5 linked regions of the Bombyx mori genome follow. Each later gene encodes a partner of the first gene's protein in a complex. Links are inferred from orthologs where the notes say so. Each region holds a gene or a part of one and is shown in the gene's direction. Other genes may lie near its edges.

Region 1 (3,500 bases):
TGGGGTTGGCACAGCGAATTTTCCTATTCCATTCTCTTCTATCAGCCGTCATCTCAACACTGTTTCCTCTCTCTCTCATATCGTCATTCACACACTCCATCCATGTCTTCTTCGGTCGACCTCTTCCCCCTCTACGTTGCACTACCATTTCCATACATCTCCTAGTCACATGCATCTTCTCTCCATGCCTCACATGTCCACACCACGCTAGCCTATTTATTTGGTAGTACCTACCCGCGCGGGACTTACAAGAGGTCCTACCACCAGTAAAGGGCTCCCCTGTAAAGTTGCTAAAATGTCACTTAAACCAAACATCCTTTCATGTGCAACAAACTTTCATCCTTCCTCGACATGTATTTTGCCCTTGCAGGTCAGGGCTGGTTAAGGTCTGGTCGGTGCCGGACTGCGCCCCCCTGCAGGTGCTCAAGGGCCACACTTGCAACGTGAGCAGCGCGACCTTCCACCCGAAGGCGGAACTGCCCTCGCATTTCCGGCAAAAGGTGAGTGGGAAGTTTAACTTCTCTTGGATTGGATAAGGTAAACGTCATTGGAGTTATCCTTAGTACGAGTGTAGTATACGTGACAGAAGTTTAACTTCTGTGACGATAAAAATGAAAGCAGAGCGCTATGAATGAACTTTGGTCATAACATTGTTAATGACGATGCAAGTGAAATTTTTGATGCCTGTTATAGAGTGTTGCTAATTTAGCTGTGAAACTGAAGAATTAATAACGACTATATTATGTCGAATCTAAGTCATGTGAATTTTATTGCTTATTTTGGTAACTTAGGGTTTCCGTACGCGGTGCGATAGTGGCTGTCTGTGAAGAGGCAGCATTAGTTTAGGATCTGTGCAAAGTTCACAAGAGTGGAGAGACATGATGTGAACTGGTCTGACTTGACTGACGGGGTTCCTCCGAAGAGTATTAAAGTCTCAATAAATTCTCACCATTTTAATAATAGGTGGCATCCAACTTTATCGCGCTTGACATGAAACAGATACGGCTGTACGGGCCTCGTTCCCTTTGCCGGGTAAAAGTGAATAGAAAAAAAAATCCAGCAAACGTTAACTTCGCAGGTGAACGTAACTAATGGGGACGCGATGGAGGCGGACGGCTCGGACGACGACAAGTCTGCCGTTTGCACGATGGCTTCGTGCGCGTACGACGGTACCGTCCACCTGTGGAACTTTGCGAGGTACGTGCGGCTGCGGACCCCCCGACAAACCTCTGATACCAAATATCTAGGATTACCAAGCTATCGGACTGAAACATCGCTCATTAAAAACATCGATATTAGGAAAAAAAAAACAATTTAAATGCTTTTAATTTTTAAATAAACTACTACTAATTGAATAAGAACTGTCTGATGAACTTATCTTTTTTTAATAATTCACTATTAAATTTTATTGCCTTTTGTTTATATCACTTTTACACTAAACACAATATTGCAAATTACCCGAGCCCAACAATGGCGGAGAGCTTTAGGTGCGTGAGAGCAGACGTAGACACTAACGCGCATGCGCACTTGTCAGTACCCAGGGGCGAAAAATTTACACTTTCTTTCCTGTTCAGCGGGAGGAAAACCGAACTTTGGGCGTCGGTAGGAGAAAAATAATATTTGCCAATGATTTTTCTGTCCGAAATCGGAATTTGGGTAGCACCTCGATTGGTGATAAGGTGTCTTGTGGGGAATCACCGTCATGCCTCACTCCGTCAAGGTTCCATCAAACGTCCCGGTGTGACAGGACGACCGTATCAGTGTCCCCGAAGCTCCCTCCACTGGGGGACAGGATTGAGTGATAATGAGTGCTTGTTCGCCAGCGAATCCCCCATGGCGTCGTTGCCGGGACACAGTCCGCACCGCGTGTCCCGGGCAGAGTTCCACCCCTCGGGGCGGTTCCTCGCGACGACGGTCTTCGATCACTCCTGGAGGCTGTGGGACTTGGAGACAGGTAGGCATCCTATCCTGTAATTTTTACAGCTGGTTTAACGAGAGGATCCCACTCTTACGTAACTCTAATTTGGTCTCGAAGGTTCCCAGGGTGTGGCCAATTTCGTCCACTGGCGTCCCATGAACCTCCATAGCCATATAAGCCAGCGGTCGGGGAACCGGGGTAAATTACCCCGAATGGGGTAAAATGAAATTTGGGGGGTTAAAAATTAAACTTTTGTGAGTAAAAAGTATATATTGAAGTGAAACTTCTTTAGAATCGTTGCGATTTCAAATTATCATGGGGGCTATAATATAAAAGATGCTAAAAAGAAGGCATTTCGTTATTTTTTGTTCCTCGCCATGGGGTAATATCAACTTACACAAAAATATTTTGGGGTAATAATTAAAAAAGTTCCCCGACCGCTGATCTAAGCTGATACACACAAATATAGTCTTAATACATTTTAATAAACTTGCCAGACAATTTAACTATGATTTGAATGGGAGTTAAAATTGTATACTGCGTTACTTGGCTGTGTTCCCAGCATTGCTGCTGTCCATGGAAAACAATGACCACTCACCACCAAGTGGGTCGTGTGCTGCTTGCTATGGCAATCAAAAAAATATGAGGTTTTTTTTTGTATGGAAACTAACGACATCTTGTAGCGGATGCCCCTAAACTTGTATGTTGTTAAAGATATGGCATTTAATTATTGTAGAACTAAACATTGAAAATAAAAAATTATAGTAAATCATACAAGTCTTTATTTGTTATAGATTTATTTACAAAATACTTCATAAAAAATAAAATATAGGATAGGTAGTATGTTACTGCCATCTACAGGAGCAATGAGAAACTAATGGAGCCGAAGCCATCTAGTGGCCGACGCCCGTAAACATTTTTGTCGAGTGCTTGAGTTGCTTATCTATAACTAATTAAGTGTTTTTATTATCTATGGGTTTTTGGCGGGAACGCGAGGAGTGAAGTTGTGTGATTTGTTTTATTTTGTCTATTTAGTGTTTGTTCAGATTTAAATGTGTGATAACGGTGGTTTATTAACTGTTTAGTATCAGCTGTGAAAGTGCACAAATGTGGGAAAATGAAACAAAGCCTGTTGGACGTAACTTCTCGGGATCCTCCAAAAAGTCCACTGAATTTTTTTTAGTAAATGACCACCATTTTGCTGTGCTTATATTTCATCCCATATCATCTCATTTCATTTCACTCCATTTAAAAATGTTCATAAAAATAAGAATATCAATTAAAATAAGACATGACCTAAAGGTCTTAGTTACCAGATCATAAAATCCCTTAAACAAAGGAGCTAATTATAAAATGCTTTTGTTTTTTATAGCGACCGAAGTATTGCACCAGGAGGGTCACGCTAAGCCGGTCTATAGTATAGCTTTCCAGTGCGACGGGTCCCTGGCCGTCACCGGGTGAGTGCGGGGGGCCGGGGGGATCGACCGGGTTCTGTTTGTGGTGGGGGGAGGGGGGTCTGACCTCCTGCGACAACCAGACATAAGCTCGTTCTTTCTTGTACATCTGATAATTGAAGTAGATC
Region 2 (2,545 bases), on another chromosome or scaffold:
TTAATTATTTTATTGAATATCACGTCATAGTATTTTACCATTATACTTTTTCTCGCTCTGATGACCAGATTTGAAGATACAAAAGTAACGCTTACAGGTGTAAGTGTAAACTCAAAAAATGTAGGTACTGGGTAATGTATTATTTATCAAATATACTAAACTAATTGATCGTAATAAGCGATTAAGAATCTGATTTTCAAAAACCGTAACCGATTTTTAACCGTAATTAAATCAAGAATTAATAAACTTAACTAATTAATAAAGAGAAAAACTAAAATTTGGAACACGAGGTCTCCTTGGAATATTATAATTGTACAGAAATAGTTTCAAACTTACGTTAGACTCAAAACAAGAAATCTATTCCTAATTTCTCACTGAAGGGCTTGAACTTATTATCTTTTTACCTATTTAATTGATTTTCGTGTGAATATGAAAATTATTCTACCGACCGGCTAACAATTGAAAACATTTTTTTTCACAGGATTGACAATTGACAGCTGACCGACAAATTAAAGGCATTGAACTCTGTTTTTTTTTTCAAATTTAGGATATTTTCTAAGGGATTTTATGACCTAGTAACTAAAACTTTTAGGTCAAATCTTATTTTAATTTATTTAATTCTTATTTTTACGAAAAATGATAATATAGAGTGAAATGAAATGAAGATGAAATGAAGTGAGATGAAATTAAATGAAATGAGATGAGATGATGTAGGATGAAATATAATCTCAGTAAAATGGTGGACATTTACTAAGACTTTTCAATTGGCTCTTTGGACGATCCCAACAAGCTACGTCTAGCGGATTTGTTTCAATTTCCCACACTTGTGCACTTTCACAGATATTATACAGTTAAACCTGAAGAAACAATAAATAGACAAAATAAAACAAATCACACAACTTCACTCCCCGCGTTCCCGCCAAAAAGTAAAAATTTATGATAATTTTGACAGCTCACAGTAAGGATGCTAAAGTCATTGACTTTGGATTATCGAACATAGATTTATTCTCATGGAACTAGAAATTGATAGTTGCATGGACAGTAAGCTGTATGGTCAAATTAAAACAAAAAAAGTTACATTACATTTAACTATTAAGTTCAGCAACAAAACCCTTCAACACCAGTTTCGATACGTTCTTTTTTTTCATCATTTATCCTATTGAATGCAATTTTTGTAGACGGGTTCACCTTTAGAATAAATTGAAACCAGGAATGAGATTTCTAATTATTTATTACTAATACAATGGTGTGCAACGTAAATTGTTTTATTATTATTCATCATCATCACAAGATTCACTACTACTAGAACTGTCCCTTAACTCTCCAGTTGGACTCGTCTACTTGTAAATTCTTGTTCACAAACTTCATTACATTACCATTGAAGCAATTTTCACTTCTTCTCAAATATTAAGTGTATTATCTGTGCGTCTTCTGACAACTGAGCACTGTCAGTGTCAACCTAAAGTCCTAAAGTAACCTAAAAAAACAAGAAGTTGACAATACACCAAACAACGCGAAAGTAGGAAAATAAACTTCTAATACAAATAAATAATAAACTTCAAAACGAAGTTGATCATTACATCAAAATGTTGCCGCTATCTTTGTTACGGACAGCGCAGAACCACCCTATGCTTGTCGAATTGAAAAATGGCGAAACTTACAATGGTCATCTCGTAAGCTGCGATAATTGGATGAACATTAATTTACGTGAAGTTATTTGCACGTCGAGAGACGGCGACAAGTTCTGGAGGATGCCGGAATGTTATATACGTGGTAGTACGATCAAATACTTGAGAATACCGGACGAGGTCATCGACATGGTGAAGGAGGAGACACAGGTTAAAGCGCGCGGTCGTAACGAGGTTTCCAAGGGACGCGGGCAAAACATGAGGACCGGTGGCCGTGGTGGTAGCCGAGGCGCATTCGGTAACCGCGGCAGAGCACCTCCACTAGCCCGTGGCGGCGGGAACCCGCGACCACAGAACAAAAATAAAAATAAAATGTAAGATAAGTTTTTTAATAAATTAAGTTATTTGGCTAAGGAATAGTTTTGTTTCATTTAAAGTTCAAAATTCCTCCATACATGCTGGTGCAAAGCAACCATATATTTGACCAAATCCAAGATTATTTATTAGTCATAATCCTGATGTAGAATTCATTGAAAATCAATAATATCTAAATAATTTGGAAACTGCAGATGCACAGGTAGTTATGAATTCATCAATCCATTAATATAAAATATTTAAGCTACCCATATCTCTGTTAAATCTAAAATGGGATACAACTTTATTATTTCTTGATATTTTAAGAAAATACATTTTTTTGTTTTATATCTTTAATTGGTTTTCACACTATTCAATTCGTGTCAATATATAAAAAAAATCAAAGTATACTGAAATCATTTATTTACAAAAAACGCTTAAAGTAATAATACTATTGTATAATATGGCAATACCCATTAATGAAATGGTAAAAAACAGAGTAAAAAAAAACAGTGTAAAAGCAATATTTTAATGATGATCCTTGAAACTTGATACAGATAGAG
Region 3 (4,101 bases), on another chromosome or scaffold:
TTTCTAAACGAAATTTGACTTCAAGTTGCCAACTTACAATATTTATGTTTTTGTTAGTATAAAAATAAAGGTTTGCATATTACGAAATAAATATGAGTTTTCACCACCATTGAAGTAGCTTCTTGCAGTGCATTATTAATAAAATAGAAGCACAGATATAAATATTTTTATTAAGTTTTATTAAATATTAATTGGCAAAAAATTACTTAAATTCGTTTAATGGATCGATGTTTTTCGATTTTAAATCGATGACATTCGTACGATGCTTAAATACATTAAAATGTATGATATACTGTATAGACGTATATTAACAGTCTTTTTGTAAAACTTTTTACTTTATCTGTTGGTTCGGTCTTGTTTTTACTTTACGGAGTTTTTAATATTTTTTATAATTCGGTTTTGGCAAGCGGTTAGCGGTTAGGCATGCCTAATAGCTTAAGCTTATAAATGATGGTATACATTAATACAACCACAGTGATTCATATTTTTTTGGATTGTTATACCATAAACTGCGTTTATTTGTGATCTAGGACTGTATAAAGTAGCACGGACGGATGGAAGTAAAACATTTTGAACAAAGGGGTAACCTAGATACTCTAAGAGTCGGTGCACGAAAGCGTTTGTTAAATTTATGAATTCAGAACCCACCAACTAGAGCAGCAACCAGATAGACCCTGAGTTCACAATCATTAGAATTCTGTACAGTGCTAGAATAGATTTATTTATGTATTTTCCCTAGCAGCCAGTAATTGCCTTATTTTTGTTTTTTTCTATTGGCTACTGCCAGAAGTTACGTTGGAAGGCTTGATGAGTTTATCTTTACAAACGCAACCATTGTGATCATCTATAATATTATATTTTCAGACATTTTTGCCAAAGACCATCAAACACCCCAACAATCTAGCACCCCACTAGATGCTTCTTTTTCTATTTGTTCTGAGTGTCCTTTTAAGCTTCTGTTTTTATGTTTCGTATGAATGATGCATTATGATATTCTTATGCAAATTCATAAAATTTCATAAAACGTGATATTTTGTATTTAAAAATCTAAATTATAATGTATCCTCCCATGGTACGCTGCCATGGATATACTACTAGCCCAAGAAAGATTCATGTCAGACAGACGGCCGATCGTAAAACTCATGCTAAAATCTCTTTCAGCAAGTTATGAGGACCATATTACTACCATAAATAACGTAGATTTATTATGGCCGGGAAAAAGTAGCTCGATCAAAGCTGTCAAGTTTCTGACAAGGCTTAAGAAGAACTCTGCAATAGGCAGTAGCTTGACCGTACGTACCTCTGATATTGTTGATGTCCAAGATCTATAATTTCCAAAATTATAATCGTAATATCGCCGTGTCAAAGGTTCTTATTTAATTTTGGAAGTGGCAGCACTGTCTCAGACGGTAGAATATAGTAGAAAAGTTAAATTCATTGACAAAATTCCAAAGAGTATATAATCACTACGTTATAAGAGTCCGCACTTCATAGTAAACGTTACAAAATGAAAATGTATGGGATCAGATCCGATCTGGTGACAACATTAAAACAACCACAGACTACAAAAATCCTACCACTGTCAAAAATAGTGATGGGCATTAATATCGATGTCCAATAAATAATGATGCGAATATTATCGATATTTTTGTCGATATCGAATGCAGGCAAGGATTGCATATTGAAATAAAAACTTTATTATTTTAAAAGAAATAAAACAATGTTTTATTACTTAGTATAATTTTAATGAAATTTGTAAGTAGAATTTTAACGCTTACAAAAAATTTTAAGTTTGTATCGGAAATGTTTAATTTTTATTTTACAATATAAACCAATATTTACTTAATTTTATGCAAGGTACAATAAGTATACATGTAGAGGTTTTCAACCTTGTTTTATAATGTTATAACGAACTAGGTTTTGAAAATTTTTGTGCTAAATAAAAAACAATTCGTTTCTATTTCCATTTGAAGAGTAAATTTTTAAAAACTTCTATTTTATAATAGTAAAAAAATAAAGTTCTAAATCTCTAAATGTATACTTTTTTTGAACTCAAACCCGAAGTTAACTTCTTTCTACAAAAAACAAATAAAAACTAATTATGTAATTATCTTGAAACACCATATTGTTGACCCCTTTTGTTCGCGTCCGCCAAATCCTCTTCCTTTGAAACTTGCTTTAAATTAATTATCTGGCACTGTCGCCGAATCAGCATTAGAGCCAATTTTGTAAACAATAAGTCTGACATTTGTTGACGATGATTAATGCATAGCCACTCTGTATTACAATTTGAATAAAATATAGTAATTGTCCACTGGCAAATATTGTTATTATGTAGGTTAGGGATACAAAACTGTTCAAAATTTGTAACCGCAGTGTGTACAGTTTGACACAACTGCAATGATGGATATGTCAAACATTTCTTATCTTGCCACCACTCCCTTAATTTAATTAAATCATAAATCTTATTTTCCTCTGGATCTGCAACTGTCAAAGTTTCTCTACAGACCTGGCAATCATTTTTTTTTAGAATAACAGAAGCTAGATATCCACTTATATAGACCACTGGTTGATTTGAAATTTTTGCTAGGTCACATACTATTTCTTTATATTCTTCTTCTTCAGGTATACTGAGAACCGGGTTGTCTTCCTCATTTTCATTTTCTGTGGAAACATGACTAGGAGACTCATTAATATCTTGACCTTGATCATCTTCGTCTTTAAACCCAAAAACTAAATCATGAAAATCCGTCATGAGTTCCTTTTTGTCTTCTTCACAATTGGAGTTTTTGCTGTGAGGGGCGGTAAGTCCTGATATTATAGAGGTTTTCATAGCTGCTATAAATGTAGAACACGTCGGATGCTTGTTTGTTTGACCATGCTGTCTTATTAACCCAAATAAATTTTCTAATGCATCCTGGTTTAACTGCCGTAGATTCAAATACTTATATCCTAAATCCTGAACTTCCAGCCAAATATCACGCAGCGATTTTAATGATATAATGTAGCCTTGAACACACTTTACATTTTTTGCTTCCACGCCATTATGGTTGAAAAATGTTAAAGTAGACAGTTGCTTTCTATATTCTGTCCAAACAGCTAAATGGTCAGTTTTAGCAGATACGTTTTCCCGTATACCTTTTTTTACGTCAGCATGTCCTGATGGCCCATTTGTATAATCAAAAAGTTTATTGAATTTTTCAATTAACAAAGCAGTCTGTAATATTTCATCTGATCGGTGTACATTTTCCACATTCGTAGCTAATAATTTAAGAACAGCAGCCACTGTTTGGCTAAATATTTGTGCGGCATACTTAACTTTCATTTTAGCTCTGTACTTTGGTTGTACATGAGTTGATTTGAGTTTGCTAAGATATAAAAAATTTCTATTTCGTTCCTCTACCTCAACTAAATGGCTCCATTGACCTTTCAATTCTCCCATTTTCAGAAATCCTTGTTTTAAAAAGTTATTTCTCAGTGATTTTAATAAATGTGGAATATCATAAATTATATAAATTTTTTTATTTTCAAATTCAAAATAATTATGTCCACCATTGTTCCACTCCTTTAACAGACTTAATGCTCCCATATTGGTGGGCGCTTGATCACATATTGTTGATAAAACTTGAAATCCCGAGTTAGTAATTTCTTTAATTATATCTTTTATTAAAACTGCTAATTTTTCTGAAGATACTGTGCCTCTTATGAAATAGAATGCCAGCGGTTGTTTAATTTTTCTCCCAATACCTTGTAACATGAAGACTAAGGCATGATTTGCTAGCTCATCTTTCCTCTCATATCCATAATCGATAAACCCTTCCACTTTATCTGTGGCTTCGCTATAAGTTAACCTTTCTTTTAACGCTATTTCATCAAAGACTAGCGAACATAATTTTGCTCTTATTTTTTTAATGGGAGCTAGTTTTTTCAGGTGGTCAAGTACAGCTGTATTTAAACCTGGCTCAACAGGTATTTTTTTCATTAATTTTTGCAATGTTTTGATACTCGGAAATGGTGCGAGATATCGCAGATATCGGTAAGCTTTTGGTGAACGCTTGAAGATGGCTAATGCTGATATTTTATTTTTAATAGTCCAGCGTT
Region 4 (2,334 bases), on another chromosome or scaffold:
TTCAAACCGAAACGCATTACTGCTTCACGGCAGAAATAAGCAGGGTGGTGGTAGCTACCCGCGCGGACTCTCAAGAGGTCCTACCACCAGTAAGAGGCTAAACAGCTAATTGGCGTTTTTAAAATATGGATTAGAGTAATTATATAGGATCTAGGTACTACAATTTGGTTTTTTCTTGAGAAATTGTAATGATCTTAGCAGACAGCTGGTTCCAGTGTAATCGCTTGTAATGTTGGTTTAGTGGTTGATTATTAGTTTACGTTACTACAGGTCGAAGTCAATGTTACTTAATGGCTTCCGGTTTTGGAGCGCAGTCACAACTCTCTCGTGTTTTCGGTATCTATAAAACTAAGGATCCTCTTTTTTTTTTCTAAATGACTATCTTGTTTAGAACTACACAACAATCGATTGCTAATACATGCACTTATATAAACGAATTACACAACATTCAGGAATATCAAATCAAAAAAGAAAACCTTTGTTCTTTTAGTTTTTAATTATATTCAATTAATGCGACTAATGCGTAAAAACTCACAATGTCGGCGATTTCATCTACAGATGCCATTTTGAAGTTTACGTTTGAGGTTATCTATCTGGTTTTAAGTCCGAGCAACAGTTTTTCGAAGAACTAAGTAAATGAGGTACTGATTGTTTGTGGACACATTACTCTCAGTGTTAAAATCGATTTAAAACAATAAAAAAACACAATTTTCTTTAAAAAATTAAACAACTCAACCAAGCTCAAACGGGATTAGCGGACGCTATAGATTATACATTTCGCTTTAAGGAATTTTATGACCTGGTAATTAAGATCTTTAAGTCATGTCTTATTTTAATTAATATTCTTATTTTTATGAAAAATGTTACAATTATGTAGTGAAATGACATGAAATGAAGATGATTAATTTTAGATATTAATCAACTGCGATGAAATTAAATTAAATTAGATGAGATGAGATGATATGAGATGACATATTCTCAGTAAAATGGTGGTCATTGACTGAGATTTTTTCAGTGGACTTTTTGGAGGATCTCGAGAAGCTATGTCCAGCGGCTTTATTTCATTTACCCACATTTGTACACTTTCACAGATATTAAACAGTCAATAAACCACCATTATCACATTAAATTAGATTACATTATTACATTTAAGCCTGAAGAAACACTAAATAGACAAAATAAAATAAATCACACAGCTTCACTCCTTACGTTCCCGCCAAAAAGTCCCGATTTGTTTTAAAAATTTAAGCACAGGTAACGAAAACGTAGTAAATGCAAGACATTGGAAATGAGATGGTGCTCCTGCACAAAACTAACAAAATTACGGAAAATACCGATTCACACCGCTACAAAAAGCTATTGGCATTGACATTTTATGATTTTGACTTTGAGTTTTAAATGACATTAATTGAAGAACCCAAGCCAAATTACTGTTTCAGCGCGTTTTCAAACAAACAAAACGAAAAATGTTGTTTTACTCGTTTTTCAAATCGTTAGTCGGTAAGGATGTAGTCGTCGAGCTGAAAAATGACCTCAGCATATGTGGGACGTTGCATTCTGTGGATCAATATCTCAATATAAAGCTTTCGGATATAAGCGTGATTGACTCTGAAAAGTATCCTCATATGTTATCAGTGAAAAATTGTTTTATAAGAGGCTCCGTGGTTCGATACGTACAACTGCCGGCTGATGAGGTAGACACCCAGCTTCTCCAGGATGCCGCTAGAAAGGAGGCGACCGTTTCAACAAGATAGAACTTAACCTAACCTACAACTTCAATTTAAAGTGTACATATTAATATAAGCTTAAGTTTCTTAATAAATCATTCTTATAATATAGTGTTTTAGTAGCGGTCTCCGGATATTCATTTCAGAAAAGAAAGTTTCCTTTGATCGAAAAATAACCTAGTTCTTCAGTTTTATGTAAGTTTTATACCAGAGTATGAAAGAATAATTTATCAATAAAAAACATCTATATTTTTACCATTCTCAAAAATGTATCACAGAAAAAAGTTTTTATTACCTTTCACATCAAACTATACTGATAATTATTAGACATAGCTGCATTCCTTAATACTTAAGCCTTTTTTCAAACCAGAATTGATTTAGATCTCTAGTGTACATAATTTGGATGTAAATATTTACAAAGCTGTTATTTTGGATTTTTAAGATATACTTTTTCTGAAGATGGCCATGTCATAGTTTTCCATAGGCAGAAGGGATTGTAAAAGCATCATTAAAATATGTTGCTTGCCAAACACTGAACCTTCCTGAAACCTGAACCTTTTAAACCTTCTCTGGACTTCACGAATAATTCAAGACCAAATTTAGCCAG
Region 5 (4,120 bases), about 7.4 Mb from region 1:
ATTTTATTTATGTAACAATACGAACTTCATAATTATAACAGTTTTTATCCTTTAATTTCTAATTTGGTGTTGTCATTGTACTAGATTTTTATCTACGTTTGAGGCGAAGGGAAGATCTTCGGGAGGGAAGATATTGCTCGGTAGACAGGCGTTTTAATCGCCTATTCAAAGTCAAAATTAAATATATTAAATTCCTATACAGACTATACTAATGATGTGTTTTCGATCCTTGTATTAATAAATTCAATTTTTATCATTTCGAAAAAACAGACCTAATAAAGAATGAACGGGTTTGAGTTTAGAACAGTTTTTCATATTTAATTTTTTTGTTTTTAAATTGTCAGAAAAACTCAGGGTCATCGTTTACCTAATCATAAGGTAGAATCCGCTTGGAAAAGCAGTTGCAGTATTTACCCACAAACTTAATAAGTGTTACAAATCAGTTACTTGAACTTAGTATATCTTTGTGTGCATTTTTTCTTTTTGTAATATTCAGTACACGTATAAAGATATTTCATAAACCTAAAGAGACATGTGCACCGCAAAAGCATGATTCTTCCTTCATTCATTAATTCTTAAACCATTTTAATCTGTTACGTAATAATTTGAGAACAATGTAGTATAGTATGATTTGTTTTTAAAGTTCATTAAACTTTACGAATCATCACAACCCAAGGATGAATTTCCATTGACAGTTTTAGAAATAAGGAGATACCAACATTCAGAAGATAAATATTAATGGAAAAATTACTATAGACAATAAATATGTACGGTACTCTACTCATTACTCACTTTATAATCGCATGGTATTTGTAAAAATCTATGGTAGGTATAAAATTATATACAAAACAATTGAGTGACAGTTACTTAATTAACAAACATTTAATATTTGAATTGACCACCAGCTGATATCGATTCAATGTCTATCAAGCTAGTTTCGATTCCGGTAACGTTTTTTTTTTTAAGAGATTTTATGACCTGGTAACTAAGACCTTTAAGTCATGTCTTATTTTACTTTATTTTCTTAATTTTATGAAAAATGATAAAATGGAGTGAAATGAAATGAAGATGATTAATTTGAGACATTAATCAACTGGGATGAAATTTAATGAAATGAGATGATATGGGATGAAATATAATCGCAGTAAAATGGTGGTCATTTACTGAGATTTTTTCAATGGACTTTTTGGAGGAACCCGAGAAGTTACGTCCAGCAGCTTTGTTTCATTTTCCCACATTTGTGCACTTTCACAGATATTAAACAGTTAATAAACCACCATTATTACACATTTAAACCTGAAGAAACACTAAATAGACAAAATAAAACAAATCACACAACTTCACTCCTCGCGTTCCCGCCAAAAAGTCTCCGGTAACGTAATGAAAATCACAGCACAGATACACGAAATATTTACGAGCATAGAGCCATAGATTATACACATAAAGTAAAAATGGCTGCGGCGGTCTAACCTTAAACTGTGTTATTTTAAATTGTAATTTCGAATTTAAAATACCTTCCTGCATTTTTTGTCAAATAACAAGAGTAAAGCTACATTCTTGTATATAGTGAAGCATGGCTGACGCGGCTGCCAGACAGCTGCAGTATGAGTACAAGGCCGTAAGTGTCGTTCAAAATATATTTTTTTAAAATTGGAATGTTTGAGAACTTAGAATTGGAGAAACCCTACTAATTAAGCATTTGACCAGTCAATAATATATTGATTTTTTAGTATATTGTCAAAACTTGTAGCCTAAGACCAAAATTTCCATGCTTAAATAACAGCAAGTACTTGTGTTGTCACTATAACGCTGTAGACAATAACAAATAAATGCGACAAATGATAAAATGTAGGTTATGACGATACATAAAAATTCATACAATACATACGAATGATACATTCTAAACATGTCCTATAGTTCCCGAGCAATCAACTTTAAGAAAATACAGATTTAATTCCTTCAAATACTGTATGTATCTGAGATGTTGCACCATAAGTCTGAACCAACAATTTTTTCTCGCAGAACTCGAATCTTGTACTGCAAGCTGATGTAAGGTTAATAGAGAGACGTGGTCGAGATGAAGCGACCGGTGAAGTTTTGTCGCTGTCTGGAAAGCTCACAGGAACTAAGATGGGTGATCGAGCTCAACGCACTAAACCAGATAAAGCTGAGGAGAGAAAGGCTAAGTATGTTTCATTGAACGAAAGGGTCTTGTTGGGGCTCATTTTGTTTTAAAAGAATCCCTTCTATTTATTGCCTTCTGTTCTATTTACAGTTCATTTAACAGTAAATAGAATAGAAACTTATAATAAATACACTTGGTGGTAACGGTTATCGGCATCAATAGACGTCACATTATGTATGCCGCCTCCTACTTTAACATTAATATTTCTCAGTTAGGTTTCAATGAATTATATTTTTACAGCACAAATACATAGGATGGCAACACAGAATTATGAACAGAATAATTTGCATTTTGTCTTGAAAATGTGAAATTCTGCTGTAAAAGTCCATATTATTGGACTTAAATTCAGTATGTTTAATCAGTAACAGTGATGATAAGACTTAAATTTATATTCTAGATAATATCTGCATATCAATAAATTAAATAATGTGATTGCAATACCAATATTTTTATAGGCGTCAAAAACGTGATGAAGCCTCCTACGAACTCTCTAAATCAAAATCCAGTCGTGTGGCTTGGGCTGATGATGCTCCAGGCGTTCTATACCGTCCCAGAGCCCAACACACTAGACATACCTATGAACTACTGCTTGCGTTCATGCAGAGCTCTCTCGGAGACCAGCCAAGGGATATATTATGCGGCGCTTGTGATGAGGTGAGACAATATTATATATCCTCCTATATCATAGAAAATTGTAAACGATATGGATACTAATGTTATTATTTACTATAATATAATAATTGTAGTAGTAAAAAATATTGGGTAATGAAGACACCTCTCAATGACTCATAGATTAACTTCTTCCACCACCACGACTTTCGAACCTGAACTTATAATAGCTTTGCTCCTAAAGCGGGATAGTGACTCATACTCAGGAGGGTTCACAATATATCTTATCAGCAATAAACTAATTTACTATTACAGGTACTCTTAGTTCTAAAGAACGATAAATTGAAAGATCCAGAGAAGAAGAAGGAAATTGAGATGCTCCTCGGTTCCATACCAGACGAGAGATTTGCTTTACTTGTCAATTTAGGTAAGTACTATACTAAAAAGTGGACCTAGAATAGTCTTCTAGATATGGGGTAAAATGAAATTAGAAGTATTGACGAGATAATGTTTGTATTGGAGATGAATTTAAGGTAACAGTAGCTAGACTAGAAAGACTAAAGTTCCGTTTCTTCTAATGAATACTCGAAAAGGCTATTAACAGTGCTATAGTGATAAGGTTTAAACCTTAAAAGTTACGACAATGCTATAACATAGTTATCTTCTTTAAAAAGAAAAACATTAACAAACTGTACACAATAGTGAAGTGGTTCAAATGACTTCTACTCTATTTAATTATATTCACTGCTTACTAATTGTATTATTGAACTGTCCCATAATGCATCTCTGGTAATAAAACTAATTCCTAACCTTGACAGGCAAGAAAATAACAGACTTCAACATGACCACGGCAACAGAGAGCAACACCGAAATAGACGAGACATACGGCATCAATGTGCAGTTTGAAGAGTCCTCTGAGGAAGATGATGAAGATGCATATGGGGAGGTAATACTATTTAGATATATAATAGAAATTATATGCACTTGTATAACGTAGGAAGATTAAATTCTAAAATACTGTAGTTGACGCCACACACCCTTGTTTGGTGCTGCAGATTTGTTCTCATGTAGAATGCTGCTACGTAAGAGCCAGAACAGGAATGTTAACTTTTGTGACAGTTCTCCTGCACATGTGGACTTTTCCAGACATTATACAAGCAAAAAGTTGCCTTCAATACACTTTTAAAAGTGCACAATCCTGACTTTTTGTTAAAAGTGCATATAGTTTCTAAATTTTGTATTAATTAGAGTAATCAACTTGTGTATTTTAATGTCTTATTGGTGGTAGGACCTCATATGAGTCCGCACGGGTAGGTACCACCGCCC

Evidence for each region.
Region 2: U4/U6 small nuclear ribonucleoprotein Prp4 (region 1) and U6 snRNA-associated Sm-like protein LSm4 share a complex: the UniProt entries of both Homo sapiens proteins name them as parts of the precatalytic spliceosome. The link is inferred for Bombyx mori from reciprocal best matches to the Homo sapiens genes PRPF4 and LSM4.
Region 3: U4/U6 small nuclear ribonucleoprotein Prp4 (region 1) and small nuclear ribonucleoprotein G share a complex: the UniProt entries of both Homo sapiens proteins name them as parts of the U4/U6-U5 tri-snRNP complex. The link is inferred for Bombyx mori from reciprocal best matches to the Homo sapiens genes PRPF4 and SNRPG.
Region 4: U4/U6 small nuclear ribonucleoprotein Prp4 (region 1) and U6 snRNA-associated Sm-like protein LSm2 share a complex: the UniProt entries of both Homo sapiens proteins name them as parts of the precatalytic spliceosome. The link is inferred for Bombyx mori from reciprocal best matches to the Homo sapiens genes PRPF4 and LSM2.
Region 5: U4/U6 small nuclear ribonucleoprotein Prp4 (region 1) and U5 small nuclear ribonucleoprotein 200 kDa helicase share a complex: the UniProt entries of both Homo sapiens proteins name them as parts of the U4/U6-U5 tri-snRNP complex. The link is inferred for Bombyx mori from reciprocal best matches to the Homo sapiens genes PRPF4 and SNRNP200.

Annotation. Positions count from the first base shown.
Region 1 is NC_085130.1:18,536,635-18,540,134, reverse strand, and holds part of U4/U6 small nuclear ribonucleoprotein Prp4, read left to right. Parts: exon of another isoform or gene 1-370; coding exon 371-500; exon of another isoform or gene 501-1,078; coding exon 1,079-1,197; exon of another isoform or gene 1,198-1,823; coding exon 1,824-1,954; exon of another isoform or gene 1,955-1,963; coding exon of another isoform or gene 1,964-1,968; intron 1,969-3,290; coding exon 3,291-3,375; intron 3,376-3,500. UniProt on the Homo sapiens protein: Plays a role in pre-mRNA splicing as component of the U4/U6-U5 tri-snRNP complex that is involved in spliceosome assembly, and as component of the precatalytic spliceosome (spliceosome B complex).
Region 2 is NC_085117.1:3,992,249-3,994,793, forward strand, and holds U6 snRNA-associated Sm-like protein LSm4, read left to right. Parts: upstream 1-1,219; 5' UTR 1,220-1,586; coding exon 1,587-2,006; 3' UTR 2,007-2,045; downstream 2,046-2,545. UniProt on the Homo sapiens protein: Plays a role in pre-mRNA splicing as component of the U4/U6-U5 tri-snRNP complex that is involved in spliceosome assembly, and as component of the precatalytic spliceosome (spliceosome B complex).
Region 3 is NC_085133.1:8,591,043-8,595,143, reverse strand, and holds the start of small nuclear ribonucleoprotein G, read left to right. Parts: upstream 1-1,301; 5' UTR 1,302-1,449; intron 1,450-1,723; exon of another isoform or gene 1,724-2,107; coding exon of another isoform or gene 2,108-4,101. Other genes in the region: uncharacterized protein LOC134201547, read right to left, coding at 2,108-4,101. UniProt on the Homo sapiens protein: Plays a role in pre-mRNA splicing as a core component of the spliceosomal U1, U2, U4 and U5 small nuclear ribonucleoproteins (snRNPs), the building blocks of the spliceosome.
Region 4 is NC_085129.1:20,029,942-20,032,275, reverse strand, and holds U6 snRNA-associated Sm-like protein LSm2, read left to right. Parts: upstream 1-1,393; 5' UTR 1,394-1,466; coding exon 1,467-1,754; 3' UTR 1,755-1,834; downstream 1,835-2,334. Other genes in the region: protein suppressor of forked, read right to left, coding at 536-565. UniProt on the Homo sapiens protein: Plays a role in pre-mRNA splicing as component of the U4/U6-U5 tri-snRNP complex that is involved in spliceosome assembly, and as component of the precatalytic spliceosome (spliceosome B complex).
Region 5 is NC_085130.1:11,180,194-11,184,313, forward strand, and holds the start of U5 small nuclear ribonucleoprotein 200 kDa helicase, read left to right. Parts: upstream 1-1,320; 5' UTR 1,321-1,573; coding exon 1,574-1,618; intron 1,619-2,022; coding exon 2,023-2,186; intron 2,187-2,640; coding exon 2,641-2,839; intron 2,840-3,109; coding exon 3,110-3,221; intron 3,222-3,612; coding exon 3,613-3,740; intron 3,741-4,120. UniProt on the Homo sapiens protein: Catalyzes the ATP-dependent unwinding of U4/U6 RNA duplices, an essential step in the assembly of a catalytically active spliceosome. Plays a role in pre-mRNA splicing as a core component of precatalytic, catalytic and postcatalytic spliceosomal complexes.